Linked DNA regions of Macaca fascicularis. The protein of the gene in region 1 purifies or fractionates together with the protein of each later gene. This does not show direct contact. Links are inferred from orthologs where the notes say so. Each region holds a gene or a part of one and is shown in the gene's direction. Other genes may lie near its edges. The genes, in order: NEDD4 and LAPTM5.

Region 1 (16,099 bases):
CTGCCTGCAGTTTAGGAATACTACCACTAGGTGGCCATATTGGGTTATACTTTCTTGCATTCTAAGCCAGAAGCTGGCTTTCACAAAGATTCAAGATGGTGGGTCGGCTACCTCCGATTTTCACCCAGATTTTTAACAAAAATAAAACATGATAGTTTTTTTAGTGTAAACATTTTATGCCCTAATAAAATCCTTAAATATCATCAACTTTCTAAACTCATTTTTAAAGATAATTTTGTGGGCCAGGCGCAGTGGCTCACACCTGTAATCCCAGCGCTTCGGGAGGTTGAGGCGGGTGGATCACTTGAGGTCAGGAGTTCCAGACCAGCCTGGCCAACACGGTCAGACCCCCGTCTCTACTAAAAATACAAAAATTAGCTGGGTGTGATGTTACCCGCCTGTAATCCTGGCTACTCGGGAGGCTGAGGCAGGAGAACCGCTTGAACCAGGTAGGCAGAGGTTGCAGTGAGCTCAGATCACTTCACTGCACTCCAGCCTGGGCAACAGAGTGAGACCCTGTCTCAAAGAAAAAGAAAAAAGAAAAGATAACATTGTGTCAAAATTTCCCTGGAAATTTGTTTTCTACTTCTAGACTTTGGGATTTTAAATATTTGCTGATTCATTGTTCTGGTAAATATTTTCATTCTTAATGAGAATATGCTGGAGGAATAGAAGCACTAGCTTCTCCATTTGCCACTCTAAGTGGTTGAAACATGTTGTAGTATCTAATTGTTAATGTCTTCCAGGCGGCAGGAGATGGGAGGCAATGCCATTACAGGCCACAAAATACAAAAAAAAAAAAAAGATAAAAGCAATTATATTTGTTGATCTCTCACTGCATACCAGGCATTCTTCTTAGAAGTTTACATATGTTATTCATTTAATGTCTACAATAACTCTGTAAGGAAGGGACTACTATTACATTTCACAGATGAGGAAACTGAGGCACAGAGAATAGGTAATGTGATCAAGTCCCATGGTTATTAAGTAGAAAAGCTAAGTGGTCTAGCTCCAGATCCCATGTTCCTAAGCAACATGACATATCATATTGGTGACTAAGAGAATTAAGAGAGAAATTAATTAATTTGTATGGAAATTACCCAGAATGCAACAAAGGTAGGTAAAGGAATAAACATATAAAAGAAAGGGTAAAGACATGAAGTCGGCCAGGCGCGGTGGCTCACGCCTGTAATCCCAGCACTTTAGGAGGCCGAGGCGGGTGGATCACAAGGTCAGGAGATTGAGATCATTCTGGCTAACACAGTGGAACGCTGTCCCTACTAAAAATACAAGAAATTAGCTGGGCGAGGTGGCGGACGCCTGTAGTCCCAGCTACTCAGGAGGTTGAGACAGGAGAATGGCGTGAACGCAGAAGGCGGGGCTTGCAGTGAGCCGAGATCATGCCACTGCACTCCAGCCTGGGCGACAGAATGAGACTGTCTCAAAAAATAATAATAATAAATAAAATAAAATAAAAGGACATGAAGTCACTCCAGAAGGAGGGGACCAAGATCATAAGGAGGAGAAGGATAAGAATATGAATTCTCAACATTAATAAAAAAGCCCAAGCAATATTTTAAAAATAAAATCTGTATCTAGACACATCATAGCAAAAGAGCAGAACACTTAGAATGTAAGAACGTGTAGCACCAAAACAGAGAGAAAGAATATTAAAAACACCAGGTGCAGTGGCTCATGCCCGTAATCCCAGCACTTTGGGAGGCTGAGGCAGGAGGATTACTTGAGCTCAGGAGTTCAAAGCTGCACTGAGCTATAATCATGCCACTGCACTCCAGCCTGGATGACAGAGCAGTACTCTGTCTCAAAAAAAAAAAAAAAAAAAAAAAAAAGAAAAGAAAAAAGAAAAATTAAAAACCGGTGCTTGAAAGCCATGCACTGTCTTTAACCTTTTCCTCTTCCTTATTCTCAACATCTTGTAGTTAGGAATAATGATGGCTAATAATTACCATATGCCAGATACTGTGTAAGCATTTTTAATGCATTATTCCATTAAGTCTTGAAACAACTCCATGTGGATAGCTATCATTATTATTATCCCTATTTTATGAATGAGGAAATTAATCCTTAGAAAAGACATGTAACCTGTCCAAAGTCTCACTCCTAACGAATGGTGGAGTCAAGATTTGAACGCAGGACCAGATTTCAGAATGCATGCACTTGTCTACTACTCAGTTCAAACACTCAAGTTTCTCCTGTAACCCTCTCTTCTTCCACTACCATTGCTCCTTCACAGGTCCCTCTATCTTCTCTCACTGAGCTATTCCAGGGATCTTTAACTGACCAGTGTACCTCTTGTTTCTCCTCCTTAAAACCACCCTTTACACCCTGTCCTGTCAGCTTCTGAGAACGCAGCGATCTGACCGTGTGGCTTTCCTACTCACAAACTCTCTTCTCATCTGCATTCACACTGTCCACCCTCTGCTCCCAGACTGCTTTGTCATATTTTTTCGCTATAATCCCTGCTTTCTTTCCCTTCCTCTCTCTTCTTCTCCTTCTGTACCCTGTAGGTATTAAATATATCAGACCCCTCATGTATGCTGTTCCTCCATCCTTCCCTCCCTTTCTCTCTGTCTAAAGACTTCCTCTCAAAGCCTTCTTGATTGCCTCATTTGAAGTCAATAGCTCAGTCTTTTATGCCCTGCAGAACATTGCTTCCATCTCTTATCATCAGCAATTGTCCTCCTATTTTAAGTCTCAGAATTAGCAGCGTTTACACTTGTTTTTCACATATGCACCAGATGAGAAACTCCTTGAGGAAGCAACGACATCTTACCCTGTGTTTTTATTCTTTTTATTCCCCATCGTTGGCCCTACCACAATACCACCTGGCCCAAGTAGGCCTTTGATAAATGCTTACCTGCACCAGCTCCCTAGTATCCAGTCTAAAGTTACTTTTCTGCAAGCTTACCATTTTTTTAGTGACATAAGCAGTATAAGAAACTGCTCATATCATGCTTATATTGCTTATATCAACTGCTTATATTATTATGTTTCTATAGGGCTTTCCATTTTCCCTAAATAGAGAATGAAATTGATTTTTTTCCCTTAGAGCTAACCTTCTTTTTTGGAGGTGACAGAATGTTGATGGCATGTTTTCTCTTACTGGTTTCCCATGGAAATTTGCCCACGAAGTACTAAGGAATAAAATATTTAGATATATCTTTTGTAAAATGTACAAAAAGGTCTGCCTAAAGCATAGTTGTGTATATTTGTCACATAAGCAAAGAATGTACAAAAGATTAGTGAGGCAATGTAGCTCCATTAATTAAGAGTACAGACTCAGGAGCTAACACTTTCTTAAGTTGTCTTCTTCAGTTTTATATGTAAAATGAAGACAATAAGAATAGCTTTTGCATAGTGTTGTTTTAAAGTTAAATGAGTTAACCTACCATTCCAGGGGACCCATGCCTCGCTGTATTAGTCCGTTTTCATGCTGCTGATAAAGACATACCCGAGACCAGGCAATTTACAAAAGAGGTTTGTTGGACCTACAGTTCCACATGGCTAGGGAGGCCTCACAATCATGGCAGAAGGCAAGGAAGAGCAAGTCACATCTTACGTGGATGGCAGCAGGCAAAGAGAGAGCTTGTGCATAGAAACCATTAGATTTCATGAGACCCATTCACTATCACGAGAACAGTGCGGGGAAAGACCCGCCCCCATAATTCAATCACCTCCCACCGGGTTCTTCCCACGCCACATGGGAATTGTGGGAGTTACAATTCAAGATGAGATTTGGGTAGGATCACAGCCAAAACATATCACTGGCACAGTCTGTAAACGTCACCATCTGTTAATGAGTGAAGGAAGATAGACTCCAGGGAGGAAAGTAGAGGTAGGGAAAACCCTGAACAGACAGGCAGGCAACAGCTAGCAGGCAGTGGCTATCCTACAGGTCACAGAACGGTGTTCATTGGAACTTAATATGAAAAGGACTATTAATGAAATGCCTTCATGGGGGCATTACCATCACCATCAATAGCTTCTTTAGGCTGGGTGCCATGGCTCACTCATGCCTATAATCTCAGCACTTTGGGAGGCCAAAGCGGGAGGATTGCTTGAACTTAGGAGTATGAGACCAGCCTGGGCAAGATGGCAAGACCTCAGAAACTTAAAAAATTAGCCAGGCATGATGGCACGCGCCTATGGTCCAGTTACTTAGGAAGCGGAGGCAAGAGGATCACTTGAGCCCATGAGGTCAAGGCTGCAGTAAGCCATGTTCACGCCACTGCACTCCAGCCTGGATTACAGAGCTGTCTCCAAAAACCAAAAAGCTTCCTCAGATATAAAGAAGTCTATATTACTAAGTAATTAGAGAAAATGCAGGAACTCTCTCATACCGTAGAGGAAACCAAGACAATATACCTAGTTGTGTTTTCCCTGAGTATATTACGTAAGGAAAAAGAGACTTGGACACAGGGTGTAGAGGGAATGTTATAACTTCATGAGAGAGATGTTTGTGATTATGTTGAACTGATTTAAACAGTAAGTCTCTCCTCTGGATTTTCAGAATGACATTCCAAACAAATTTGAAATGAAACTTCGCCGAGCAACTATTCTTGAGGACTCTTACCGGAGAATTATGGGTGTCAAGAGGGCAGACTTCCTCAAGGCTCGACTGTGGATTGAGTTTGATGGTGAAAAGGGATTGGATTATGGAGGAGTCGCCAGAGAATGGTTCTTTCTGATCTCAAAAGAAATGTTTAACCCTTATTATGGGTTGTTTGAATATTCTGCTACGTAAGTACCTTTACAATGATTATAGGCAGAAAAAGAAAAATCACTGCTTTAAAAGTAAGAGTCAAATGATACAAGGAAAATATATGTCATGCCTGAAAAGGGCAATTTTAACTAATGTTGCTTCAGAAGTGACTTTTTTTAAAGTTGTGGTGAAATACACATTACATAAAATTTACCGTTTTAGGCCAGGTGCGGTGGCTCTTGCCTGTAATCCCAGCACTTTGGGAGGCCAAGGCGGGCGGATCATGAGGTCAGGAGATCGAGACCATCCTGGCTAACACAGTGAAACCCCATCTCTACTACAACTACAAAAAAAATTAGCCGGGCGTGGGGGTGGGCACCTGTAGTCCCAGCTATTTGGGAGGCTGAGGCAGGAGAATGGCATGAACCTGGGAGGCAGAGCTTGCAGTGAGCCGAGATCGCATCACTGCACTCCAGCCTGGGTGACAGTGCGAGACTCCGTCTCAAAAAAAAAAAAAATTACTGTTTTAACCATTTTAAATATACAATTTAGAGTCATTACATACATTCTATTGTTGTGCTGCCATCACCACCATCCAACTCTAGAACTTTTTCATCTTCCCAAAATGAAACTCCGTACCCAGTAAGCACTTGCTCCCCATTCCCTGGCAGCCACCATTCTGCTTTCTGTCCCTGTAAATTTGACTCCTCTGGGTACCTCACATAAGTGGAATCATTCAATCTTTGTCTTTTTGTGACCAGCTCATTTCACTTGGCATGATGTCTTCAGGGTTCATCCATGTTGTAGCATGTATCAGAATGTCCTTCCTTTTTAAGGCTGAATAATATTCCATTATTTTTGCATATAATGCTTTGTTTAGGCCAGGCGCGGTGGCTCACGCCTGTAATCCTAGCACTTTGGGAGGCCGAGGCAAGTGGATCACAAGGCCAGGAGTTCAAGACAAGCCTGGCCAACATAGTGAAACCCTGTCTCTACTAAAAATACAAAAATTAACCAGGCGTGGTGGTGGGCACCTCTAATCCCAGCTACTTGGGAGGCTGAGACAGGGAAATCACTTGAACCTGGGAGGCGGAGGTTGCAGTGAGCTGAGACCATGTCGTTGCACTCCAGCCTGGGGAACAGAGCAAGACTCCATCTCGAAAACAAACAAACAAAACTTTGTTTATGCATTCATCTGCCAAGGACATTTGGGTTATTTCCACTTTTTGACAGAAATTACTATTTTTAAAACCATTAAATTCAGTGGAGGAATGTGGTTCTAACAGTAGTAAACAACTCTTAAAAGAGGAAGATTATTTATAATTATTTGTCATATTCAAGTGTTTCAAATGAAGTATTTAAATGGGGTTGTCTTTACAGGGACAATTATACCCTACAGATAAATCCAAACTCTGGATTGTGTAATGAAGATCACCTATCTTACTTCAAGTTTATTGGTCGGGTAGCTGGAATGGCAGTGTATCATGGCAAACTGTTGGATGGTTAGTATTAAGTATAAACTTTTACAATGTAATTACCTGTTGTCTTTCACTTGGTAATCATCCTAAATGTATTTGGTTTTTTGCAAGGTTTTTTCATCCGCCCATTTTACAAGATGATGCTTCACAAACCAATAACCCTTCATGATATGGAATCTGTGGTATGTCTTTTTCACTTATAGTTTAGACAAAGTATAATTTAATAAGTAACTTGAACATTTTGAGGAATTTGCTTTTAATGACATGGAAATTAATATATTATGTTTCAAAATACAAATTAACTTTTTCCTCAACATTTTATTATGAAAATTTTCTAACGTTTAATAAAGATGGAAGTATTTTACCCCGCACACTTGTATATCCACTACTCACAATTGGTTTTTTCTAGATTTACTGTATCACATACTTGTCTGTCTATCCATCAGCCTATCTTAGTTTCTTCATGCATTTCAGAGTAAGTTATAGATAACAGTAAACATCCCACTAAATACTTCAATAGGTTGTACAAGTTATGTGTCTTTGGAATCAGTATTTGCATTACGATCTTTTATGATGAATATTGCATGTGTGTGTGTGTGTGTATATATATATATATATATTTTTTTTTTTTTTTGAGACAGAGTCTCGCTGTGTTGCCAAGCTGGAGTGCAGTGGCGTGATCTCGGCTCACTGCAACCTCCGCTTCCCAGGTTCAAGCAATTCTCTGCCTCAGCCTCCCGAGTAGCTGGGACTATGGGTGCGCGTCACCTCGCCCAGCTAATTTTTGTATTTTCAGTAGAGATGGGGTTTCGTGTTCGCCAGGATGGTCTCCATCTTTTGACCCCATGATCCACCCGCCTTGGCCTCCCAAAGTGCTGGGATTACAGGCGTGAGCCACTGCGCCCGACCATATGGTGTATATTTTTTAAATGGCAGTCGAAAGGCAAAGCATTATGGTTAGGCTCCTAGAAAAAAACAGAAGCCCAAGGATTAAACCCCTGACTGTAGCCATGTTGTTTCCTGTGCTGCTGAATAGCCTCACACGATGTGTGTACACATGAATTCTAGGACATCTTCCTTAGTACCAAGTTCATTTTTTATTTTCTTATTACATATTAACAGCACAAACAGTGTGCTTCTTTATAAATCGTAAGATTGCACGGTTATTTGAGTTGGTTCATTGAGCCTCTATATTTATTTAGAGATTTTTCTTTAACTCGGGCTGGGTATAAACAATGGCCTCCTCATAGCTACTTAAACATTTCACACACAGTGCCGGACACAGGGGTGCGCAACTGTAATCCCAGCACTTTGGGAGGCTAAGGCATGTGGAACTTGAGGTCAAGAGTTTGAGACCAGCCTGGCCAACATGGTGATAGCCTGTCTCTACAAAAAATACAAAAATTAGCCGGGTGTCGTGGTGCATGCCTGTAGTCCCGGCTACTCAGGAGGCTGAAGTAGGACAATCACTTGAGCCAAGGAGGTCGAGGCTGCAGTGAGCCACAATCACCCCACTGCATTCCAACCTGAGGGACAGAGCAAGACCCTGTCTCAAAAAAAAAAAAAAAAATTAAATTAAAAAATAAAAATAAAACATTATAGTCACGTAGGCATATGAGGAATGTGCTAAGTGCTCCTGGATATCCAAAGCCAAAAGTTAGGTTTTATCTGAAAACTTCTGTATTCATTCCTTTAACTGGATGATACAATCTGTACCTCCACTGCTTCCACATAAACATAGATTCTGAACTTTTCAGTAGGCACCACTTGATTGATTGATTGACTGGTGCATTTTTACTCTTGCCCTTACCATCCATCTCTTTTTGTAATACACACACATACACACATACATTTTTGTTTATGTGTGTAAGTAAAGGATGTCCATCTGACCTCTCATCTTTTACCCAATTACTCAGCCCCTCTACATATTGTTTTTTTGCAATTTCAGGTGTGTTATATGTACAAATTTTAAATACGTAATTTTTCCCATCTAGGATAGTGAATATTACAATTCCCTAAGATGGATTCTTGAAAATGACCCAACAGAATTGGACCTCAGGTTTATCATAGATGAAGAACTTTTCGGACAGGTTTGTTAATTTTGATCAGTTAAAATGGCACATAAATTGTGAAACAAATGTTTTGATGTTAATACGTACACTGAATACATTCCTAGGCTCTGTTTTTACATTTATTTTCCAGTAACAAAAACTGTCTCTCAGCAAGAATTTGTGCTTTCTTTAACATTTGACTCATTCCATATTTATTTTAGTAAAACTAATATTTTAAGTTTTCTTAGCTTTTAACTTGTGACTGGACTTAATTTAAAACACCAGGTTTCTTGTATAACTACAATATGTATACTTTTAAAATTTTTCTCAGTAAAATAACATATCAAGTTATTGTGTTTAATTTTAGACACACCAACATGAGCTGAAAAATGGTGGATCAGAAATAGTTGTCACCAATAAGAACAAAAAGGAATATATTTAGTAAGTATTTTGCTAATAATTATTTTATGGGATATAATTTTGTCCTTTACTCCAAAAAGACTCCACTTACCATCTTTCTCTGTCCCCTTGGCCAGAATCTCAGTGTTCTTTTTCTCTATCTCAATGCAGTAGCGAGCACTCATATTCAGCCTTTGCATTGGGCTCAGCTAGCCTTTAGTTTTTGTTTCTAACTAGAATAATTGTGACTCAGAATTTTGTCTTGGTTCATGTGAAAATGAAATGTTGTTTCTTTTTAGTCTTGTAATACAATGGCGATTTGTAAACCGAATCCAGAAGCAAATGGCTGCTTTTAAAGAGGTATTCGTTTTCTTTTATTTGCTCTTCCGTAATTTCATAGTATAACCCATAAGTTTCTTTTTTTTAATTATTATACTTTAAGTTCTAGGGTACATGTGCACAATGTGCAGGTTTGTTACATATGTATACATGTGCCATGTTGGTGTGCTGGACCCATAAGTTTCAAATATTGGGCCTCATCACTTCTGAGAAAAATAAGTGTATGGCTTGTTTTGTGAAATCATTCTAAATTATATTTTTATATTAACTAAATATTTCATTCAGTCATTCAAGAAGTCTAGACAATAAACATTGACAGGTCCCCTTTCCCCCAAGCCTTTTCCCTATTCCATTCCTTTCACCTTAGGACAGCAAAAGAACGAGAGTGCTTTAGGCGTAGTATAACATATTGTCTGTTTTTCTAAATAGGATCACCTTAGACATTTTGTTTTGTGACTGACTTACTTCTTTTTTTTTTTTTGAGACAGAGTCTCACTCTGTCACCCAGATTGAAATGCAGCGGCCTGATCTCGGCTCACTGCAACCTGTACCTCCCAGCTTCAAGCGATTCTCCTGCCTCAGCCTCCCGAGTAGCTGGGATTACAGGTGCCCGCCACCACGCCCAGCTAATTTTTGTATTTTTAGTACACACAGGGTTTCACCATGTTGGTCAAACTGATCTCGAACTCCGGACCTCAAGTGATCCACCCGCCTTGGCCTCCCAAAGTGCTGGGATTATAGGCATAAGCCACCGCACTCGACCTACTTTCTTCTTTTATCAGATATTTATTGGGGATATTTACATGTGAAAACATATAGCTGCCTTTCTTTGTGGCTATATTTTATTCAGAATATAAATTAGTAAGTTACTTAAAATTTCCCCAATTGGTAGACAGATTGTCAGAGCACTCATTTCTTAAGATAATTTACAATCTTCTGTTAAATAAGTATCTGGCTGGGCGTGGTGGTTTATGCCTATAATCCCAACACTTGAGGAGGATGAGGCGGGAGGACTGCTTGAGCCCAGAGTTTGAGACCAGCATGGACAATATAGGGAGACCTTATCTCTATAAAAAATTTAAAATTAGGCTGGGCACGGTGGCTCATGCCTGTAATCCCAGCACTTTGGGAGGCCGAGTTCTGGTGGATTGCCTGAGGTCAGGAGTTTGAGACCAGTCTGGCCAACATGGTGAAACCCCATCTCTACTAAAAATACAAAGAAATTAGTCGGACGTGGTGGCGTGCACCTGCAGTCCCAGCTACTCGGGAGGCTGAGGCAGGGGAATTGCTTGAACCCGAGAGGCAGAGGTTGCACTGAGCTGAGATCACGCCACTGCACTCCAGCCTGGACAATGGAGCGAGACTTAGTCTCAAAAAAAAAAAAAAAAATGAGCTTGGTGTCATGGCATGTGCGTATGGTCACAGCTACTTGGGAGGCTGAGGCTAGAGAATCACTTGAGCCTTGGAAGTCGAGGCTACAGTGAGCTATGAGCTATGATGGCACCACTGCACTCCAGTCTGGGCTACAGAGTGAAACCTTGTCTCTAAAGAGTGTGTGCGTGTGTGTGTGTGTGTGTGTGTGTGTGTGTGTGTGTGTGATCACATACTTTTTCATAAATTCCGTATTGAGTACTATGTGTATGGTGCTGTACGAGGCCAAAAGACATAAGTCCTGCTCTTAAGGGATGTATGATGTAAAGAGAGAAATGAACAGAGGCAAGCATAAAGTGCTAGGTGAGCAGAGAAGAGTGCAAACCAGGGAGGGGCAAAGGAAGGGACAAAGAAGGACTAGAGGGATTGGCCAACCATGGGGAAGAGGGAAATGCAGTTCTAGCAGGAGCAGCGTATGTGAAGTCTGGCAGTAAGGTAGGCTTTACCCACAGGCAGTTGAGTATGCTGGGTGAGAGAATGCAAGACGGAAACAGTCAGCCTGCAGAGCTAACAGACCAGCTTATACAGGGCCTGTGTGTGAAGCGGTAGAGTTTGGAGTTTTCTCTGAATTTCAGTGAGGGGGAAGGAAGGTAGCATTAAAGGCTATTAACCAGTAAGACACCAAGATTCAATTTATGTTTTAGATCATTCTGGAAGTGCCATGTAGAGCGAGTTAGAGGAGAGCAAGACTAGCAGCAGAGACTTCCCAGCAGAGTTGGGAAAGGGCTACATAATCTTGGTGAGAAATGGTAAGGAATTAAGGGAATGGTGAGGGAGTTGAGACAGGAATGGGAAGGGAATGAAGATAGTGGTGGTGGTCAGAGCTTCATGTGCATTTGAATGGCATTCAGAAAGGGAGACTTCAAGGATAGAGATGTATGGATTTGGGGCTCATTTGCCTACGTATAGTGAAGCTGCGAACTTGATACGATGGAAAATGTGAAAGGGCAGTGAAAGTGGATGGCCTGACATGTGGAGAGAGAACTGGGAACACCAGCATCTTAACTGTTGTTTTGAATGGATGGTTTATGAATGGACAGGTTAGGGCATGGGAGAAAAAAGAAAAAAAAAACAAAAAACAGGAGACTGTAAAGGAAATAAGGAAAATAACAAAGGCAGACAGAAAGATATCAAGAGCAGAGAGAGTTTCAATAGCAAAGATGGTTTTAATCATATCATACTGCAAAGAAGTCAAATATGATAAGGAATTGAATGTGTTTATTAGATATAGCTGCAAAGCCGTCTTTGACTTTTTCCAGAACAATTTCAAGGAAGCTGTAGTATAGAAGTCCGATTGCAGTGGGTTGAGTGTTAGATGGGAGGTGAGTGAATGGATATGCTAAGTGCATAACACTGTCAAGAACTTGCCTGTGAAGGGAAAAAGAGGGTCATTAGTTTTGTTTTTGTTTTTTTGTTTGTTTGTTTGCTTTAAAGGTAGATATGACTTGAGCAAATTTAAATGCATACAGAGTGAGCCAATAAAGAGAAAGAGATCTAGTGAGATGACCTCCCTGCGGAGCAGGTGAAGCACAGGTGCAGGCCTAGCCTGAAAGAAGAGGTGGCACTTCTGTCTTCCACTGCGGCGGGAAGGAGGCCATGATGGGTGTTGGTGATGGTTGGGACACAGGGATGCAGAAGCTTGAGGGAGTTCCATCATGCATAATTGCCTCTGTTTTCCCTCAAATAGAACTTACACTTACCTACGGTAAAGAAGGGGTGATGTGGAGGCTTGAGAAGGATGGCAAATTTGTTTTTTGTTGTTGTTCTTGTTGTTTTGAGACAGGATCTCACTTTGTCGCCAAGACTGGAATACCTCAGCCTCCCCAGTAGCTGGGACTACAGGTTTACACCACCATGCCTGGCTAATTTTTGTATTTTTTTGTGGAGACGGTGTTTCACCATGTTTCCCAGGCTAGTCTCAAATTCCTTGAGTCAAGCAGTCCGCCCACCTCAGCCTCCCAAAGTGCTGGGATTACAGGCATGAGCCACCGCACCTGGCCACAGGAAGTTTTAAAAATAGCCACTTTGAGGAATAAATGAGAGAACAGACTGTGCACATGTACATTTTCTGGCCAATATTGAGATCTCAGTGAAGAGCCCGTGATTGTGTAGCGGTAGAAACTTGTGTGTCTGTGGGATTCCTCCAGTGGCACCCGGAAGCTGAAGCATAGGAAAGGCCATTGGCCCTGCCCATCAGGTTTTTAAATACATCTTTTTTCTAGGGATTCTTTGAACTAATACCACAGGATCTCATCAAAATTTTTGATGAAAATGAACTAGAGGTAAGACATAACATTTTATGTTGAAACAGAAAATTTTGAACCCATTATTTTCCTTGTTTATAATTTGACATTTCTTACGTAGCTTCTTATGTGTGGACTGGGAGATGTCGATGTGAATGACTGGAGGGAACATACAAAGTATAAAAATGGCTACAGTGCAAATCATCAGGTTATACAGTGGTTTTGGAAGGTAATTTGAAACTTCTCTTTTCGTAAATTACTTTTTGATAGATTGAATCATATTTAAGTCAACTCTTGATTAACTATACTGGTGGATTACATTTAACTGACACAGAAAAATATAGAGACCAGCAAAAATGATCTTTGATTTTGTACCGTATACATGCACCTTCTGGGTCTATAACCATTACTAGGTAAGTAAAATGTTCAGAAGGTAGTAAGTGGAATGACAGGCTGAGACAGGCACTTAGTTTTCTACTAAAGTAGGGACTCTGAAAGAACTTGTAATAACCTACAGGGTATTCCTAGGGACTCCTGAGTGGCTCTTTTAAAATGTCTCATAGAGAAATGTGTATGCCATTCAATAATATTAATATAATGTGTTTTTTGAGATGGAGTCTCGCTCTGTCTCCCAGGCTGGAGTGCAATGGTGCTATCTCAGCTCACTGCCACCTCCGCCTCCCATGTTCAAGCAATTCTCTTGCCTCAGCTTCCCGAGTAGTTGGGATTACAAGCATGCACCACCATGCCTGGTTAATTTTTTTGTATTTTTAGTAGAGACGGGTTTCACCATATTGGCCAGGCTGGTCTCAAACTCCTGACCTCAAGTGATCCGCCCACCTCAGCCTCCCAAAGTGCTGGGATTATAGGCATGAGCCACTGCGCCCAGCATATAAGTTTTAAAAGTCATGAGTCATATCTCAAGAGAAATTTTGTTACTTCATTAGGTTATAATCCCATTCTAAAAAGTTGCCATGTAGCCTTACAAATAAAGTTTTCAAGAACTTTATAACCCACCCATAAATAAAAATTTAACTAAAAGAAACATCCACATCTAGTAAGGGATTGTTACTATTCTAGCTAAATTCTGATAGCTTATGTTTCAGGATAATTTGTTTACCTTTTTCCCAGTGCTGTTCCCTAAATGATGTTTTTATCTTATTCAGGCTGTTTTAATGATGGATTCAGAAAAAAGAATAAGATTACTTCAGTTTGTCACTGGCACATCTCGGGTGCCTATGAATGGATTTGCTGAACTATATGGTAAGGATTTTCCATAGATCATTAAAAAAAATGGAGTGATGCCTATTGTCTTTTTCATGGCTGATGAATCCTCACGCTTCCATCATTTACTAACATTTAGCTTAATTTTAAAAAGAATTAAGATTTTGAAAGTGATATCATTAGAGACACTAGAGTAGGCTAAAATATATTTGCACCTTCGAATCAGATAATAAAGGGGAAAACTGGAAACATCAAATGACTTACGAGTCACTTTCCCTTCTTTAACTTCAGATTCTATGCCCCGTGTGCGTCAGTTACAGAAAAAGCATTACCTTGGCCGGGAGGGGTGGCTCACACCTGTAATCCTAGCACTTTGGGAGGCCGAGGCAGGCAGATCACTTGAGGTCAGGAGTTCAAGACGAGCCTGGCCAACACAGTGAAACCCCATCTCTACCCAAAAATACAAATATTAGCTGAGCTTGGTGGTGTGCACCTGTAGTCCCAGCTACTCGGGAGGCTGAGGCAGGAGAATTGCTTGAACCCGGGAGGCGGAGGTTGCAGTGAGCCGAGATTGCACCACTGTAGTTCAGCCTGGGTGACAGACTGAGACCCTGTCTCAAAAAAATGAAAAAGCATTACTTCTCATGTGATAGTTCAGGATAGCATTTGAAGTTTCACAGAATGTCACTAAGTGTATTCAAGTTGAATACCTTTAGGGAAATGCTGGACTAAACAAAGTTAAATGGATTTCTTCAGGACTTGTGTAGAACCTTTACTGTTAGAAGAAAACAAAAGCATTGTTTCCCAAACTTATTTGATCATGAAATCTTTTTTTTTTTTTTTTTCCTTTCAAGATAGGGGTAGAGAATCTCGTTAGGCTACTATTTTTCATTTCCTGGGGGGAGCACCGGGACTGGGGAGAAGAGTGCCCATATCTCTTGATTTTTAGAATAGTTAATGCAGTTTTCAGTAAAGTAAGATTCTGTGTATTCTATCAAATTATTTTTCAGTTGATGTACAAAACTGGAGGTGTGTTTTGTTTAAAAGTGCCGTTTCTGATGTAGATTGCAGCAACTTTTCTCACATTGATTCATATTCTGTTTATTGGAATGATATTTACTTGCTTTTAAGGATACCAAGAATCCAAGAATAAATCTTTTAGAAAGGATGTAGCTGAAGTGGGAACCCTACTCAGAACAACGAGTAAGATTAGGATTGTCCTGGGGATTAGAAGTCGGGACTGCTGCCTAGGAAATCGCTAAGCTGAATTTGTTGTGCAAATAGAAGCTGACCATCTGATGGGATAGCTAAACCCTTTCTTCATGGCAAATCTGGTCAGCTTGCCAAGCCTCATTAATGTGTGTTTGCAGAACTGATCAAGCAGCTGCTACTTCTCTACCTAGAGTAACCACTCAAAAGTGGTTAGCTTTGCCACGGACCAATTCAGTCATTCTTTGCCTAATTGGACTTCATAGCCTCTTTCTTTTTCGTGGTTTCACCTGATTCCCCTTCCTCTCTCTTCTCTGCCTTAACCAGTTGGTAGTGAAAAATAAAGGCAGGGCAAACAAATGCCCCTTTCTGTCTCTGGCCTCTCTTCCCTCTTTTATGTAACCCAGCCCTATAACCATCCACTGATTTCATGCACTGTTTGAAATTTGGGGCAGATATGCCACACATAGAGCCAGAGTTGTTTGTGTTAGAATATAAAGTCAAATTCTTATGTATTTATAGAAATAAGTTGTTTCAAAATGTTAAAATTACAATATTAGATAGCCAATAAAAAGTATGTTAAGTTGGCTAGGTGCAGTAGCTCATGCCTGTAATCCCAACATTTTGGGAGGCCGAAGCAGGCAGATCACCTGAGGTCAGGCGTTCAAGACCAGCCTGGCCAACATGGTGAAACCCCGTGTCTACTAAAAATACAAAAATTAGCTGGGTGTGGTGGCACGCACCTGGAATCCCAGCTACTTGGGAGGCTGAGGCACAAGAATCATTTGCACCTAGGAGGCGGAGGTTGCAGTGAGCTGAGATCATGCCATTGTACTTCAGCCTGGGTGACAGAGTGAATGGCTTGTGGCCAGGAGTTCAAGACCAGCCTGGGCAACATAGTGAGACCCCCATCTCTACAAAGTGAATTTTTTTAAAAGTTAGCCAGGCGTGGTGGTGCACACCTGTAGTCCTGACTACTCAGGAGGCTAAAGCAAGAGGATC
Region 2 (16,099 bases), on another chromosome or scaffold:
TTTTAGCTCAACCTGTTGCTTGCTCCTCAGAGCCACCAGGAAAAGAAACAAATACCCCTGCGCCCTGGCCACTTCCCCAGTGGCCAGCTTGGGGAAGCTGTGTTTGTCATTAAGAAAGAAGTGCTGCATGCAGACAGGAATAAGAACTGAAACCAAAGAGGGGCAGAAGGAAGAGGTGAAAAGCGGGAAAGGAGAGTGGGGGTGGGAACGGTGGCTGAGCATGGCTGGGACCGCAGCCTGAGCCCGGCTTGGAGGCAGGAGGACAGAGCTGATTTTGACCCTGCGACAGTTTTGGTGTGTGACCTTGGGCTGGTCGCTGTCTCTCTCTGGGCCATACTTCCCCACTGGTAACATCCTCCTCTCAGGGAAGAGACACTCCCGCACCTTCTGAGCTTCCCTGGAGAGACTGAAACACACCTGCACTGACAGGCCTGTAGCCTTGCACACGATGTCCCCTCTTTTGGAATGCTTTCTTCTCTTCTGTGTTGGAAAACTCCTACTTATCCTTCAAAGCCATGCTCGTGGGTTTCCTGTTGGTGAAACTCTCCTTAAGTTTTTTAAATAGCAATGCATTATCCCTTATCAAGGACCCCAAGCCCCATGCGTGTCCTCTGTCATGACTCTGAGCACACCATTCATGCACTGAGTTCCCTGGAGACTGAGACACCGGCACGTCAGAGTCAGTGGCTTGTCTAGACAGAGTTTGGAGGTGGTGGGTGCTCAGCGGGTGTTTACTGAGAGTCAGTGAAAGCCCAGAGGTAGCAAAAACCACCACCCAACTGTGCTTGCTTGTGGCGCACCCGCTGTGTGCCTGGCTCTGTGCACTGCATGATGCCATTTGACCTCAGCAATCCTGTGAGGCAGGTCAGTGATTAACCCCATTCCTCAGATGAGGAGCCGAGGCCCAGAGAGGTTAGTGGCTGGCTCAAGGGTGCAGAGATCAGCTGGGGCCTGGGGCCATCTGACTCCAGCACCCCAACTCTTATCTTCATGATCTCACCAGCATAGAATGAAGGGACAGTGGGTTAAAAGATGCTGTAATGGGGGAACAGGTGGGTGAGGGCATGCTATCTGCCTGGGCATTGTTGGAGGAGAGAAGCCTTGTGCCTGTCGTGGGAAGACTTGTGTTCCAAGGTCACAGCCCAGCTGGGCTCTCAGAGCTTAGGGAGAAGCCAGCGCTATGTTCAGGTGGAAACCAGGGGCATGAAGGGAAAGCAAGGGCTGGGGGCTTGGAAATTTTTTTTTTCTTTTTTTTGAGAGGGAGTCTTGCTCTGTTGCCCAGGCTGGAGTGCAGTGGTGCGATCTTGGCTCACTGCAAGCTCCGCCTTCCGGGTTCACGCCATTCTCCTGCCTCAGCCTCCTGAGTAGCTGGGACTACAGGCGCCCGCCACCTCGCCCGGCTAGTTTTTTGTATTTTTTTGTAGAGACGGGATTTCACCTTGTTAGCCAGGATGGTCTCGATCTCCTGACCTCGTGATCCGCCCGTCTCGGCCTCCCAAAGTGCTGGGGTTACAGGCCTGAGCCACCGTGCCTGGCCAGCTTGGAAATTTGGACTCTTTGCATACTCTGTAGGTCGTCCAGGTACTTTCCAGGAATTACCAATAGCTGTTGGTTAGGGACATGGGTGGGGCAGTGAGGGCCTTCTGAGGGGTAGGGTGCTGGCCCTGGGGTGGCTGGGGGTGGAGGACTGTGGGCAGCCTGGGTGAGATGTCCTGCAGTGTGTAGGAGCTCCACCCCACTGACCCTCCTGCGCTCTGTCATCCCCATGGCCCCAGGGGAAAATGAGGGTCTCTTCTCATTGACCAAAGGCGAACACTGAGGCCGGGGAGAAGCCAGAACCTGGCCCGGGCCACACAGCAGTGAGGCAGTGGCGGAGGCCTCCTGCTCCCCAGCTCTGGTCTCCTGAGCTCTGAGGGGCTGGGGCCTGGCTGCCAGGGAAGAGTGGGCAGATGGCTGGAGAGATTCTGGAGTCCCAGGGGAGCCAGCCCAGCCTTGTGGGGAGCCCCGGACCCCAGGAGAGAGGCAACAGGGTTCACACCCCAGCCGGGCCACGTGACACAGGACATGAGTTCTGTCTCAGCCTCCATTTCCTCATCTGTAAAACAGGAAAATGTTGCCTCTTTTGTAAAGTTTTGGGAGATTGCAGTGCAAGCCTCTGTGTGCGGGTCTGAGCATACAGTAGCTGCTGAATAAATGTGAGTTCTTCTCCATTCTATGTCCTAGAGAGCAGCATGGGCGCCTGGAGCCGAGCTTCCTCCCTTTCTACCGGGTCAGGGACTGGCATCTTCGTGGAAGGTCGGGGCCCCGCAGAGTCTGAGTCAGGCTCTGAGGTTGCCTCGCTCCGTGACCGTGGGCCGGTCCCTGCTCTCTACGAGCCTCGTGGGCCATCCGGCAATAGGGACAAAGTCCTCCCCCGTCCCCTGCCTCAGGGTTGTTGAGAAGGTGAAATAGGGGGAGGGTGACCTGGGTTTTAAGTGCACGTGGTTTTCACAAAAGTAGAAATACCTCTGGTGTCTGGTGCTCAGGCTGAGGGGAGGGAGGGGGACTACAGAGGGAGAGGGGATGGGGGCACCTCTCTGCCTCCACTGAGGCACAGGGAAGGGTCAGGCCTCAGGCAGAGCTGGGTGGCTGGGAGATGCTGGGCAGTGGAGGGAATTGGCCAAGATTTGAACCTTAACCCTACATATGACCAGCTGGGAGGCCTTGGGCAAGGCCCTGGACCTCCCTGAGCTGCACTTTCTTCATCTGTGAAATGAGAGTGAAAGTATTAATAATCCCTCTGCTGAGTAGAGGGGAAGATCACGTGGCGTGGGGTTAGGCTATACAAATGTCCCCTTCTTCCCCTGGGGTGGTTGGAGGGGTTGCAGGGCAGTGAGGGATGCTTGGAGGAGAACAGAGGAGTTGAGAGGGGAGTTGAGGATTAGTAGAGGTCTCTAAAGTCGGGTAATGTTCAGGGTGACCTCATGGCCTCAGGATGACAATATTAAAATTCTAAATTTTTCAATCATACAATTTTTTAATTTCTGGAAATTTTTTAGTAGCTGTTTTATGATGTTCATGATAAACTAGGACAGTAACACATTCATGTAATTTAGAAAGAAAGGAAGATAGAGGCGTGTGTTCAGAAGGTTTTACTGACATAGGTGCATGATGAAAACATCGAAGTCCTCCCCAGGGTTCAGGCTAGCAGGGCTCTGAGGCATTTTGGGGGTCAGGGGAATGGGAAGGCATCAGAATAGCACTGGGAGACTTGGGATCCCCCACTCAACTTGCTGTGTGTCCTTGGGCAAGCCACCTAATCTCTCTGAGTTTATAAAACAAGCAGAGGGAGCTTATAAAACAAGTAGAGGTAGGCTCCTTCTAGCAAGGGGAGGTTGAGATGATCTGATTCTAGGCTTTGTTCCAGATCTCAGATACTCCTGGAATCTTGACACTTTGAAAGTCTTCTCGTTTCACAGCTGGTTGATGCTCATGGTCCTTCCCTAAGCCCAGCTGTGACTCATCTGTGATCTGCTTACATACTCCCAGGAACGGGGAGCTCACCACTTCACAGGACACCCCGTTCTGTGCTGGATGGAGCTGTCATCTGCCTCCCTTTCTCTTTCTCTCGTTCAAGGTGAAACTGAGAGGAGAGGGGCTGCGGCTTGGCCTTTAGGGACTGAGGAAGGAGTTTTTCTCTCAGGGCTGTTTCCTCTGAGTGTTAGCCATAGCCCTCACCACACCTGCCTTCTGCTCAGGGTGCTCTCGACTTTCATGATGAGACAAAGCCTTTCCAGCTCACTCTCCAGCAGCTAGAGGGGGCAGTTAGAGCATGCACCATGCTCCTGGTACTACTGCCCAACCACGTAAGCTTGCCCCAGCCAAAAGCAGATTCTGTTTGCTGGGCACCCCCTGCCAGTCCCTGAGCTCAGGGTTTTGTAAGTATAATGCAATTTAATCTTCACTGAATCCAGCGATTGCAGTTTTCCAGATGAGGCAACTCAGAGAGGTTAAGAGACTTGCCCAAGGTCACACAGTGATCTGGGTTCAAATCCCTCTTGATCTGGAGCCCAGCTCTTCATCACTCTTCTGTTCAGTCCCTTTCCACGCCCATAAACAGGATGTAATGTGGCAGGAAGACAAGTTGAGACCTGTGTCTGAGCTAAAAAAAAAAACAAAAAACAAACCCACACAGTCAGCAAGGGGGAAACAGATGGTGGGTAGCTGGTTGCCTGTCAGCTGAGCATAAGTTACCAGTGCAGGGCTGCCTAGAAAGCCAATGTAAACTTAGGGCCATATTAATAGAGATAGGGCACCCACTAGAAGGGAGGGGAGAGTCTTCTTGTTCTTTATATGGGCAGAGGAGAACTGCATGTGTGTCGTAGGGGAAGGGTGGAGGGCTTGCTGCAAGGACATGGACACACGTAAGGTTGTGAGTTCCCCATGGCTGGAAGCACTTCAGCAGAGGCTGCATGGCACAGGATTCCTGCACTGGCTGGTGGAAGGCATGGACAAAGTGATCTCCAAGGTTCTTTCAAACTGCAGTTTTGTGGCTGAATTTCAGTGGTTTCTAGGTCCACCCCAACACTCTGGCCTATCAGATTCGCCCCTTCCCCATCATTCTTAGCAACGGTCCTCTGAGAGCGTGGGGTTCATTTGTTCATTCATTCATTCATTCATTCATTCAACAAATACAACAGCTAGGGGGATGAACAAAGACACACACAAGCTTTCCCTGCCTGGAACCTACAGTCGAGTGGGGATAACGGTAATAATAATAGCACAGATGGAGTGCTTACTATCTGCCAGGTACTTTAAGTGAATTATCCCATCTGGCTCCACCACAATCCTGTGAGGAAGATGTTATTATTCCCTGAGGGGCCATGGGAGACAGGGATTCAGGGTTAGATGCTCTCCAGGGCCCTCCTGGGCCTGTGTTGATGATTCCGGGAACCTGAAGCTCTATGATGCTCTCTGATCCCCAGAGCCTGTTGTTAGAGAAGGGGGTGCAGTGGAGGGGCCTTCAACTTCTACCCCCCACCCCACCCCTTTAAGCCTGACCTTCAGTAGTAACAGTTACCACTCTTACTGAGAGCCGGGCCCAAGGGCTCTCCTGGGATAGTCTCATTTACTTCTCACGGCAGCCTCCTAAGGAAGTTACTAGTATTATCCCCATCTTGCAGATGGGCAAACCAAGGCATATAGAAGTCAAGTAGCTTGTCCAGGGTCACACAGCTGGAGAGAGGAAGACCCAGGATTCTGAGCATGGGCTTTCTATGTAAAGGCCACTCTTTTGTCTGGGATGCCCTACTGACCTGGCATGCCATCCACTCCAGGATCCTCACTACTGGCTTCCCTGCTGTACACCACTAAGGTGGGAAGAGCTGGTCGGGGGGCCGTGATGCAGGCTCAGCTGACTGACGCTTTGCTCTGCCTCCAGATCATGAGCGTCTTGTTGTTCATCGAGCACTCCATAGAGGTGGCCCATGGCAAGGCGTCCTGCAAGCTCTCGAAGATGGGCTACCTCAGGATCGGTAGGTCCAGGGGACGCCGGTGGAGTGGCGGCGGGAGGAGGACAGGGAGGGCCCTGGCTGGGGATAGCCAGGCTGGGGTTGGAGGCCCTGTCACCTCTCCATGGACGATGGATGACCTCTGGCAAGTGTCTTCCTTTCTTGGGGCCTCGGCTGTTTCATCTGCAAATGGGGATGTTCCACCTGACCCCACCCACATATGCAGGTGGTGAGAGCAGATGGAATGGCACTTTGCAAACCCCCACCAGCTGGTAAAGGTGACAGCCTCACTCTTCTGCTTAAAGCTGTCAGTGGCTGCTCATCACACTAGAATAAAATGGAAACTCCTCACCATGGGACCCAGCCCCTGCCCACTTCTCTGACAGCATCTCCCTGCAATTCTTCAGCCCACACCTTGCTTCAGCCACACTGACCTCAGCAACCTTGTCCCTGTCTCAGGCCGACTCCTCATTGCTCTCAGGCCACTCCCCAGGGATGCCTTCCTCGGCCTCACCCTGGCTGAAGTGGACCCCAGCCTGCACCTCCAGCCCAACACCCTCTGTCGCATCCACCTTGTGCTACGCGTGATGTTCTGCTTTTGTCGTTGTACCCACTCCAGACTGAGGACTGCGTGAGGGCAGGGCCTGGGCTTTCCTGTGCACCCTCGTGTCCCCAAACCAGTGGTTCCTGAAGTGTCTTCCTGGGAGCCTGGCTGGGTGCCGGGGGTACCCCTGAGCGCCTCACTGCTCTCCTTGCCTTTCAGCCGACCTGATCTCCAGCTTCATGCTCATCGCCATGCTCTTCGTCATCAGCCTGAGCCTGCTGATCGGTGTGGTCAAGGTGAGGGCTCGGGAGCCCCGCTGCCCCTGCCCCTTCCTGTTATTCACACCCGCTGATGGGCAGTGCTGGGTGCCGAGACGGGGGGGAGGCGGGTGTGTTCGGAGGTCCCACCTGCATGCTGGAGATCTTCACATTTACCTTTTGGCGAACCATGTTTCTCCCTGAGATTCCCTGGGCTGGTGACCTCGGTTCCCTGGTAACATGAGCCTCCATGGGGCCGGGCCTGGTGGGCCATGCTGGTCACCGACATTTCGGTGAGAACTAGCTGATGACCCACATCCTTTTAAATGGCAGGTGGAAGCAGGGAATTTGGAGAGTGAGAAGAGGAAGTGTTGTTTCTGGGGGTGAGGGAGGGGAGAAAGCACTGGATTTTGTAATGGATGAGAGGAGCCGAAGCAGGAGGAACGTAGGATGCATGCAGCTCTATCTGTGCAGTGACAGGTGCCAGCACCCTGAGGGGGACCTACGCCCTGGAAGGCCCCCAGAGAGCTCATGATTTAACTGGGGAAGATGGGCCCTCAGAGAGACAGGGACAGTCTAGTGTGACAACGAGGGGCTCCTGGGCCCGAGGCAAATCTGGTGGGAGGATTGAGATGGGCTGCAGCTCAACCCCCTGCAGAAGAGGAAGCCGCTGTCCCTTGGTCCCCAGAAAGGCAGGAAGCCAGGGCCTCATCACATGGCCATGAGAGTAGGATCCAGAAAGAGAGTCCTTCCTGAGCAGACAGGGGCCTGGCACTTGCAGGGCCGGAGGAGTGAGGTGATGATTTGGTGCTGGTTTGGAATGCACCCACCCTGCCTAAAATGCCAACACCCTCTCCCCTTGCTAACATCCACTGTGTCTTGGAACCCATGTTCCCCGGGGAGGCCGTTTGCATTGTGCAGGGTGGCTCTGGGTGCTTGTGCAGAAACTCAAATGGTTCAGCTAGGGAAATGGAGAAATGGAGCAAGTGGTCCTTGACTCTGAGATCAGTCAAGGTTGTTCTGGTTGCCTCCTGAGTGATTTTAAATGACCACATGAGACACCAGGAAACCCCTGTTTCCGTGATTTTGTCCCCAGCTGTGAGAGCATATGAATGAATACTGGTCACGGTGGTCACTTGCTTTCAATTGAAGGAGAGGGACTTCAGCCTCTTCCTGGCAGGGCCCCTTACTGTGACTTTGGACCCCTGGGAGTGGCCCGCGGAGGGAGGTCCAACTGTATGTGGGGTGGTGGTGGGGGAGATGGAGGGGGTGGGGGGCCAGGGCTCTCTGCTGCCTCTGGGCCTTCGCTCATGTCGGTCCTTCTGCCTCCAGTGCCCCACCCCTCCCTCCTGCTCGCTCCTAGTCTCCTTCCCCGATCTAGCCCTGGTGTCCCCAACTCCAGCAAGTCCTCTCCGATCCCCTCTCCTCTGTAAAAAGTGCACAAAGCCCTTCCTTGCTGGGTTCTTGTGAGCAAATTGAGTCAAATCCTGCTCTTTGAGCCCTGATAGATGGGGACGGTTCCCTTACGTCTCCTGGGACACCAAGACTCCTCTCATTCAGGGCCTGGGTTTTGTCCACTCCCTGTCCCCAGAGTGTCACTCAGAGGAAGGTGACCTCAACTGAGGAGGGCAGGGAAGATTTGGGAGAGGGTGGGCAGGGGATGCATGAGGACATCAGGCTGGGTGGGGGAGTGTTGGCTGCATGCAGGGGACACTTGATGGTGTTGGGCCTACCTTTCAGAACCGGGAGAAGTACCTGCTGCCCTTCCTGTCCCTGCAAATCATGGACTATCTCCTGTGCCTGCTCACCCTGCTGGGCTCCTACATTGAGCTGCCTGCCTACCTCAAGTTGGCCTCCCGGAGCCGTGCTGTGAGTACCCAGCCCCCACCTCTCACTGGACAGCAGACCCCAGGCCTGGCATGGGAGATGGGAGGGGGCCAGACACGGGCCCTGGGCTCAGGCTGGGGAGGGTAGGAGCCCTCTTCCTGGCTGGGGTCTTGACCCAGTCTCTGAGTCCCTCCACATTGCCCCAAGTTTCTTCCTCTGTGGAATGTACCTGCAATCACATCTCACCAGCCTGCTTTATGAAGGTTAAATGAGGAACACGCACACTGGGGGGTGTAGCCCATGGTCAGCATTTGGTCAGTGCCGCTGGGAGTGAATTGACACCTGAGGAAAGGGCACGTGTGCTTTCAGGCCCCCAGCCCCCAGTGTTATTCCAAGTTGAAGAAAGGAAGAGAAGGATGATTCCTGCCAGTGAGTGTCCACTGTGGAGTGGCTTGAGGGCTGCTACCAGTCAAGGACACAGTCACCCAAAGTTGCTTTTCTCACTTTCCCCAACTGTTGTCCTTGAAGAGACCGAGGGACTACATCGTGAAAGGGCCCTGGCCTAGGAGTCTGGAGACCCTGGTTCTAGTCCCAGGTTTGCCACCAGCTCTTGGTATGAACATCTGTGTGTTCACGTCTCTCTGTGCACAGGGGATGAGTCGATGATGTCTGTAGCTGAGATGCTCTCTCAAGTGAGGGCATATTATGTGCTGCTCAGTAACTGGGACTTTAATTGCCGCTCCTTATTCTTCCTCCTTGTATTTGTCCTCCCCAGAGCCCCTCCAAGTTCCCCCTGATGACGCTGCAGCTGCTGGACTTCTGCCTGAGCATCCTGACCCTCTGCAGCTCCTACATGGAAGTGCCCACCTATCTCAACTTCAAGTCCATGAACCACATGGTGAGTCTGGGGCAGTGGTCCATGCCCATTTGTTGGCTGTGTGGCCTTGAACAAGTTACTTCATGTCTCTGTGTGTCTGTGGTTTAGGCCAGGTTCCCTGGAGCTGGAACCTGGGAGGAAGATTCTTGTGTTGGTGATGTATTGAGGGAGCCCTCTCAGGAGGAAACTTGTAAGGAGTGAGGAAGGCAGGTTTGAGAAAAGGAGGAAACCAAGCAAAGACACGACTATAGGAGCAGCCCTGCATGATCCCAGAGAGGGCCTTGGTGTGTGAATTGCAACACAGACATAATATCCGTTTTTATTGCTGTCTAATGAATTATTTCTAAACACTATGGCTTAGAGCAATAAACATTTATTATTTCACACAGTTTCTGAGGATCAGGAGCTTGGGAGTGGCTTAGCTGGGTTCTTCTGACCCAGGGACTCTGGTGGGCTGCACCCAAGATGGTCCCTGGGCCTGTGGACAACTGAGGGCTTGACTGGATCTGAAGGATGCACTCCCAGTGGCTCACTCACAGGATGTGGGCTCTTTGTCTAATTCCTCATCGTGTGGACTTGTAGTAGTGATGCTTGAGTGCTCTCCTGACATGGCTGCTGGCTTCCCCTGCGGGAGCGATGTAAGAGACAAGCAAGGAGGAAAGGCAGTGTCTTTTACGACTTCCATCACTTCTGTTACACTCTGTTAGTTAGAAGTGAGTTGCTAAGTCCAGCCCACACTCATGGGGACAGGAAATAAACACTACCTTTAGAAGGGAGGAGTCTCAAAGAATGTGTGGTAATATTTGCAAATGACCGCAGAGGCAGTCTCACCTAGGGCGAGTTCCTCTGCATCAGTCATTGGTTTCAAGCTGCCCCTAGAGGAGCGAATGTAACCTCCCGGGTACTAGTGGATTAGGTGGTCCCTATCAGCCAAAATGATCTTCTAGAGAAGGGCATAGGTGTGGCCCATGGGCAGCTGACACCTGCCAGTTGGGGATGGGCAGGTGCACCAGCCTGGGACGCGGATCTGGAGGTAGTAGCCACTTGGCTTTTCTTGGTTTGCCCGTCAGTGGGATGGGGCTGAGGGTAGCACCTGCTTCCTAAGGCTGCTGTGGCGGTCGACCAAGGTGACGGCTGTGCCACACTGTGCTCCTGTGTGTGTGGAGGGTGGGATCATTAGTCCTGGATGTGTGGGTGCTGTTGGAATTCCTTATGTCCAGAGACATTGATGTGGCTCCCAAATCTGTTGCAGAATTACCTCCCCAGCCAGGAGGATATGCCGTATAACCAGTTCATCAAGATGATGATCATCTTTTCCATCGCCTTCATCACTGTCCTTATCTTCAAGGTGAGTGGACCCCTGCCCTGTGGCTCTGGGAGGGGTGGTGAGGCGTGCTGGGCCCAGGCCTGCCCGTGCCAAGCTGTTAGAAGGCAGGGACACGTGTCCTCCATGCCTCCTCTCCTGCTTTTAGCTCCTTTCTCTTGCTATCCCATGCCAGCTCCTCTGACTTTACTTGGGATCTTCCGAGACAGCCCGTTTAGGGGATGTGAATCCATGAAGGCCACCTGCGTTCGGATGTCTAATTCCAGCTGTCCGGAATTAGATTTGGACTGGCCTGCGTTTGAATCCCAGCCCCACTGTCATTAGCTGTGTGCTTGGTCTTCAGCAAGTCACTTCTCTCTGGGCCTCAGGGGCATGAGTCTTACTTTGCCTATGTTACAGTTTTGTGTAATTCAGGCATCCACATGTGCCTGAGATCATGTTAATAGAGGTTTGTTGATGAGAAGGAGGGAGGGGAATGGTCTCATTCTTCTCTGGGGTGGTCAGGCCCAGGGATAGGGTCCAGCTTCAGGACCCAGGTCTGAGTGATGGTGAAGGACCAGAGTGTGTTCACAGCAGTGCAACCAGCAATGTGAAGAGACAAGAAAACATACCATCTTAGGAAGTCAAAAACCCCCCCACAAAACCCAACGAAGACCTGAGTGCTATTCTGCATGGAAAATAGAGGACTCAAGGGGGACACGACTGCTGTTTCTTAACACCTGAAGAACTCTCGTGGGGAATTTTGTGGGATCCTAGAGGCCACAATGGGGGCCTGTGGCCTGAAGCCACAGGGATGCTGATGACCACAGAACAGAAGGAAGGGCTTTTAAGAAGTGTTCTTTTCTGATCATAAAAGTAACATAGGTCATTGTAGAAATTAAAAAACTACAGGTGAGCTGGGTGCGATGGCTCACACCTGTAATCTCAGTGCTTTGAGAGGCCAAGTTGGGAGGATTGCTTGAGACCAGGAGTTCAAAACCAACCTGGGCAACATAGCAAGATTCTGTCTCTACAAAACATTAAAAAAAAAAATTAGACGCATGTGGTGGCACGTGCCTGTAGTCCCAGCTACTAGGGAGGCTGAGGCAGAAGGATTGCTTGAGCCTGGGAAGTAGAGGCTGCAGTGGGCCATAATCGTGCCACTGTACTCCAGCCTGGGCGACAGAGTGAGAATCTCCCTCTCAAACAAAAAACAAAAAACTCCAGATAAGTAGAAAGAAGACAAGCACTCCACCATCCCCACCCCACACAGAGAACATCACTGCTAACTTGGGGCATTTCCCCCCAGCCTTTCTGTGCTGGTGGGTGGGCGTCTGCGGACTCCAGCTCCTGCTTCCATCTGAGGCCCTGGGCAGTCTCTGCCGTCACCTAATGCCAATCTAGAAACAGAACCTTGCCCCTTTTAACATCTTCTCCAAGGACTGACCTAGCACAAAAGCACTAGTGAGTGTGCAGTGAGAACGCTCCAAAGGCTTCATGGGGGAAGTCAGTGTGGGGTTTCCACGGCACTCTCTACTGCAGGACCCCTCCCCAGATCCCACCACACAGCTCCGTCCCCCAGCTCCCCTTCTGTTTTTGATCTTCCAGAATGAGGGGTTTCCCTCTTTGACCCTCATTCTGCCTTGCTGGCCCCCTCCACCGACTTGATTTTCCCTGGGCCTTCATGCCTCATTCTTTGTCACTCAGTACCTCCACATGTCTCCTTGCCCCACCTATGTGCCCAACCAGGGAATCCATCAAACAAGACCTTCCAGTATACAGGACCCTCTCCTCCTGCTCAGGGGGCATCCTGGGGGTTTTCTGTTGTTTCTTGAGCTCGCCCCTTGGGATTGTACGCCCCACTCTGGAAAGCTTCTGCCCAATTCTTACATCAACTTGCATCAGCTGATGGATATATACCAATTGTTCCTCCTTTATAAACATGGACCAATACTGCACATGCTGTTTTGTAATCTGCTTTAGAAAACAACATATCAGAAGCAATTTTGAAGAAAACATGTCCCACCATCAGCTCTGTTTCCAGATGGCCAGGGCTGTCTCGGGAGGTAGTGAGCTCCCGGTCAGTGTGGGCAGTCAAGCAGGAGCTGTGGGTCTATTGCCGGGGAAATTGGAGGGTGGGCCAGAAGCCACCAAAATCCGCTTGCTATGTGGTGTCTATGGGGCAATGAAAAGGGCAGTACCTGGAATATTCTGGACTGGCTGGTGAGGAACAGAATGAGAGGTCTGAGCAGGAGCGGCTGGATGCTGGCTTCTGGGGAGAGTGGTGGCTCCTGCCTGGCATACGTCCTAGGCCTGCTGGAGTGTGAGAAGGACGCTCAGCAGAGCACAGCCTGACCTGGGCCTTTTTCCAGGTCTACATGTTCAAGTGTGTGTGGCGGTGCTACAGATTCATCAAGTGCTTGAACTCGATTGAGGAGAGGAGCAACTCCAAGATGTTCCAGAAGGTGAGTTTGGCTGCAGGTGGGTGCCAGCCTTGCCATTCACTGCCTGTGCCATTTGGGTCGAGTCTCCTTCCCTCTCTGGACCTTGGTTTCTCTGTTTGTAAGACGAGGGTTGGAACAGAAGAAATGTGGTCTCTTTCAGTTCTGGTAGTCTAAGATTCATTCACTCACTCATTCACTCACTCATTCATTTATTCAGTATTTACTACCTCTCACTCTTTGCTAGTCTCATATCAATCCCAGGGGGCGCAGAGAAAACTAAGATGCCACCTCTGCCTTAGAGGAGTGTATAGTTCAGACACATAGATACAATTACAACTTGGTGTGAAGCACAGGGACAGTAAGCACAGAGGAAAGACCTGGCCTCTTTTTGGATATCAGGGAAGGCTTCCTGGAGGAGGTGACAGTTGACTGGTCTTGGAGGGACAATGGATACGAGATAGCTGGGAAAGGAGAAGGAGGCTTTCGGGGAAGAGAGGATGGGGTGTACTTAGAAGTAGCTTATTGGAAAGTGATGGTTTAAATTCCTGGTAACTTACTTTCCTCCCCGGTAAGGTGGAGATTGTATTAGTTAAGGCACTTTTGGTTGCAAGTGGCAAAAACCCAACTCAATCTGACTTAAGGAATTTACTAGCTCATAGAACTTAGCAGCCAAATGTAGGTCTGGCTTGGGCCTGGCTGAATTACGACATCAGGATACGATCTCATCCTCTCCATCTCTCGACTCTACTTTCCTTGATGTTGGCTTCATTTTCAGGAAGCCCGTCCCTTGTGGTGGCAAAATGACTGCCAAAACCCCTAGGCGATATCCCACCCTCTCAGTAATCCCAACAGAAAAAGAAGGTCCCAGTAGTATGTCTGATTGGACCAACTTGGGCCACGTGCCTATCCCCAAACCAAGGACGATAGCCAGGAGGATGGAATTCTACTTTGAGTGGCCAAGTCCAGCCACCCCGCTGGATCTGAGGGATGGGACGAGTTCTTTTGGAGGTATATGGACAGAGAATGTTTTCCCAAGGAAAATGGTGCACTGTATTCAAAATAAGGGGGACTTGATGCTGAATAGGCAAAGGCAAGTATGTCCACTACAGGGCTGGGGACTGCACCTATCTCATGCAGGCAGTGTCTAGCACATAGCAAACATCCAAGACCTGCCAGTCATTATCATCATCATCATCAGCAGCAGCACCAGCATCATTTTGCCAGAGGTGGGGGTTTGGGTCCCATGACCCCGGGTTGGAATTGCAGGTCGTTTTTGATCATACTCAACCCTCATCTCTGTGTCTCTCCCAGGTGGTCCTTCCGTCCTACGAGGAAGCCCTGTCTTTGCCATCGAAGACCCCAGAGGGCGACCCAGCACCACCCCCATACTCAGAAGTGTGACCCTCGCCTGGCCCCAGCCCCAGTGCTGGGAGGGGTGGAGCTGCCTCATAATTTGCTTTTTTGCTTTGGTGGCCCCTGCAGCCTGGGTGGACCCTCCTGCCCCCCCCCTCGGCAGGACAATCTGCTTGTGTCTCCCTCGCTGGCCTGCTCCTCCTGCAGGGCCTGTGAGCTGCTCACAATTGGGTCAACGCTTTAGGCTGAATCACTCCTCAGGTCTCTCAAAAATTCAGCCCAACAATGCTTGGTTTATGTCAATCAGCTCCGACACTTGTTTAGACCATCGGTCATTCTAAAGTTGGTGAGTTTGTTAAGCAACTATCGACTTGATCAGTTCAGCCAAGCAACTGACGCATCAAAAACCCACTTGTCAGTTCAGTAACATAATTTGGTCAAAACAACAGTCTATTGCATTGATTTATAAATAGTTGTCACTTCACATAGCAATTTAATCAAGTAGTCATCAATTAGCTACCCCCATATATAAATATATATGTAATCAATTTCTTCAACTAGCTTGCTTAAATGATAATCAGTTAGCCAACCATGAGTCGTTTAGAATAGTGATAAATAGAATACATAGAATAGTGACGAAATTCAATTTAAAAAACCAAGTTAGCCTCCAAACCATTTTATTCAAATGAACCCATCAACTGGATGCCAACTCTGGTGAATGTAGGACCTCTGAGTGACTGTATAATTGTTAATTCAAATGAGATTAATTTAAACAGTTGACAGACTGTCATTCAATAATTAGCTCCAGGAAATAACAGTTATTTCATCATAAAACCGTCTCTTCAAACACACAATTGTTCTGCGGAAGAGTTGTCATCAACAGTCCAATGCTCACCTATTCAGTTGCTCTGTGGTCAGTGTGGCTGCATAGTGGTTGATTCCATGAAAGGAGTCAGCTCAATCACAGTCATTTTAGTGACGAGCTGCCAGTCCATTCCCAGGCCAGGCCGTTGCTGGCCATCCATTCAGTCGATTCAGTCATAGACGAGTCAGTTCTGCCTGAGGCTTGTGATCAAGCAAAAATTCAGCCCTGAAGTCGGGCACATCTGTTCGTTGGACTAAACCCACCGGTTAGTTCAGTCAAAGCAGGCAACCCCCTTGTGGGCACAGACCTTGCCACTGGGGTCATGGTGGTTGTGGCAACCAGGGAGGTTTGGCCCCCACAGCCCTCCTGTGCCTGCTTCCCTGTGTGTCGGGGTCCTCCAGGGAGCGGACTCAGAGGTGGAGACCACAGAGGCAGGGTCTCTGGGGACTGTCGGGGGGTACAGAGGGAGAAGGCTCTGCAAAAGCTTCCTGGCAATACCCCCTTGTGTAATTGCTTTGTGTGCGACAGGGAGGAAGTTTCAATAAAGCAGCAACAAGCTTCTCTCTGGCTGATGTGTTTCTGGAAATACAGTGTAGAGAGGGCGGAGACCAGCCTTCTACCTCCACCACCCCCAGGACTCACCCACACTCCCCCACACCCACATACACACCCCCCACAACCACACCCACCAACGTACACACCCACACCCCCACACTCACACCAACACTCACCCCCTCACTTAAGCCCCACACCTACACCTACATACACACCCCCACACACTCCCAACCACACCCACCAAAGTACACACCCACACCCCCACACTCACACCCCCAACACCCACCCCATCACCCCCACCCCACCTACACCTACATACACACCCACATAGATACCCGTCACACACTCACCCCCCACAACCACACCCACCAACATACACACCCAACATACCCACACACACCCACCCCCACCCCCTCACCCCCAATCCCCCACACATACACACCCCCACACTCACGCTCCCAACACCCACACTCACCAACATACACACCCACCAACATACCCGCAACCCCCACACACAACCACACCCACCCCCTCACACCCACCCCCACACACCCACACTCCTACACCTACATACACACCCACATA

The links.
Region 2: the proteins of NEDD4 (region 1) and LAPTM5 purify together in Homo sapiens (affinity purification with western blotting; 3 studies listed by BioGRID and IntAct, with this or other methods). This does not show direct contact. The link is inferred for Macaca fascicularis from reciprocal best matches to the Homo sapiens genes NEDD4 and LAPTM5.

Annotation. Positions count from the first base shown.
Region 1 is NC_088381.1:32,285,948-32,302,046, reverse strand, and holds part of NEDD4 (E3 ubiquitin-protein ligase NEDD4), read left to right. Parts: intron 1-4,531; coding exon 4,532-4,761; intron 4,762-6,103; coding exon 6,104-6,225; intron 6,226-6,312; coding exon 6,313-6,383; intron 6,384-8,195; coding exon 8,196-8,291; intron 8,292-8,619; coding exon 8,620-8,693; intron 8,694-8,950; coding exon 8,951-9,011; intron 9,012-12,643; coding exon 12,644-12,703; intron 12,704-12,785; coding exon 12,786-12,893; intron 12,894-13,830; coding exon 13,831-13,927; intron 13,928-16,099. UniProt on the Homo sapiens protein: E3 ubiquitin-protein ligase which accepts ubiquitin from an E2 ubiquitin-conjugating enzyme in the form of a thioester and then directly transfers the ubiquitin to targeted substrates. Specifically ubiquitinates 'Lys-63' in target proteins.
Region 2 is NC_088375.1:204,270,151-204,286,249, forward strand, and holds the end of LAPTM5 (lysosomal-associated transmembrane protein 5), read left to right. Parts: intron 1-5,419; coding exon 5,420-5,513; intron 5,514-6,252; coding exon 6,253-6,329; intron 6,330-8,030; coding exon 8,031-8,159; intron 8,160-8,892; coding exon 8,893-9,015; intron 9,016-10,246; coding exon 10,247-10,342; intron 10,343-12,669; coding exon 12,670-12,762; intron 12,763-14,052; coding exon 14,053-14,142; 3' UTR 14,143-15,281; coding exon of another isoform or gene 15,282-15,305; 3' UTR 15,306-15,520; downstream 15,521-16,099. Other genes in the region: uncharacterized protein, read left to right, coding at 15,282-15,305, 15,846-16,099. UniProt on the Homo sapiens protein: May have a special functional role during embryogenesis and in adult hematopoietic cells.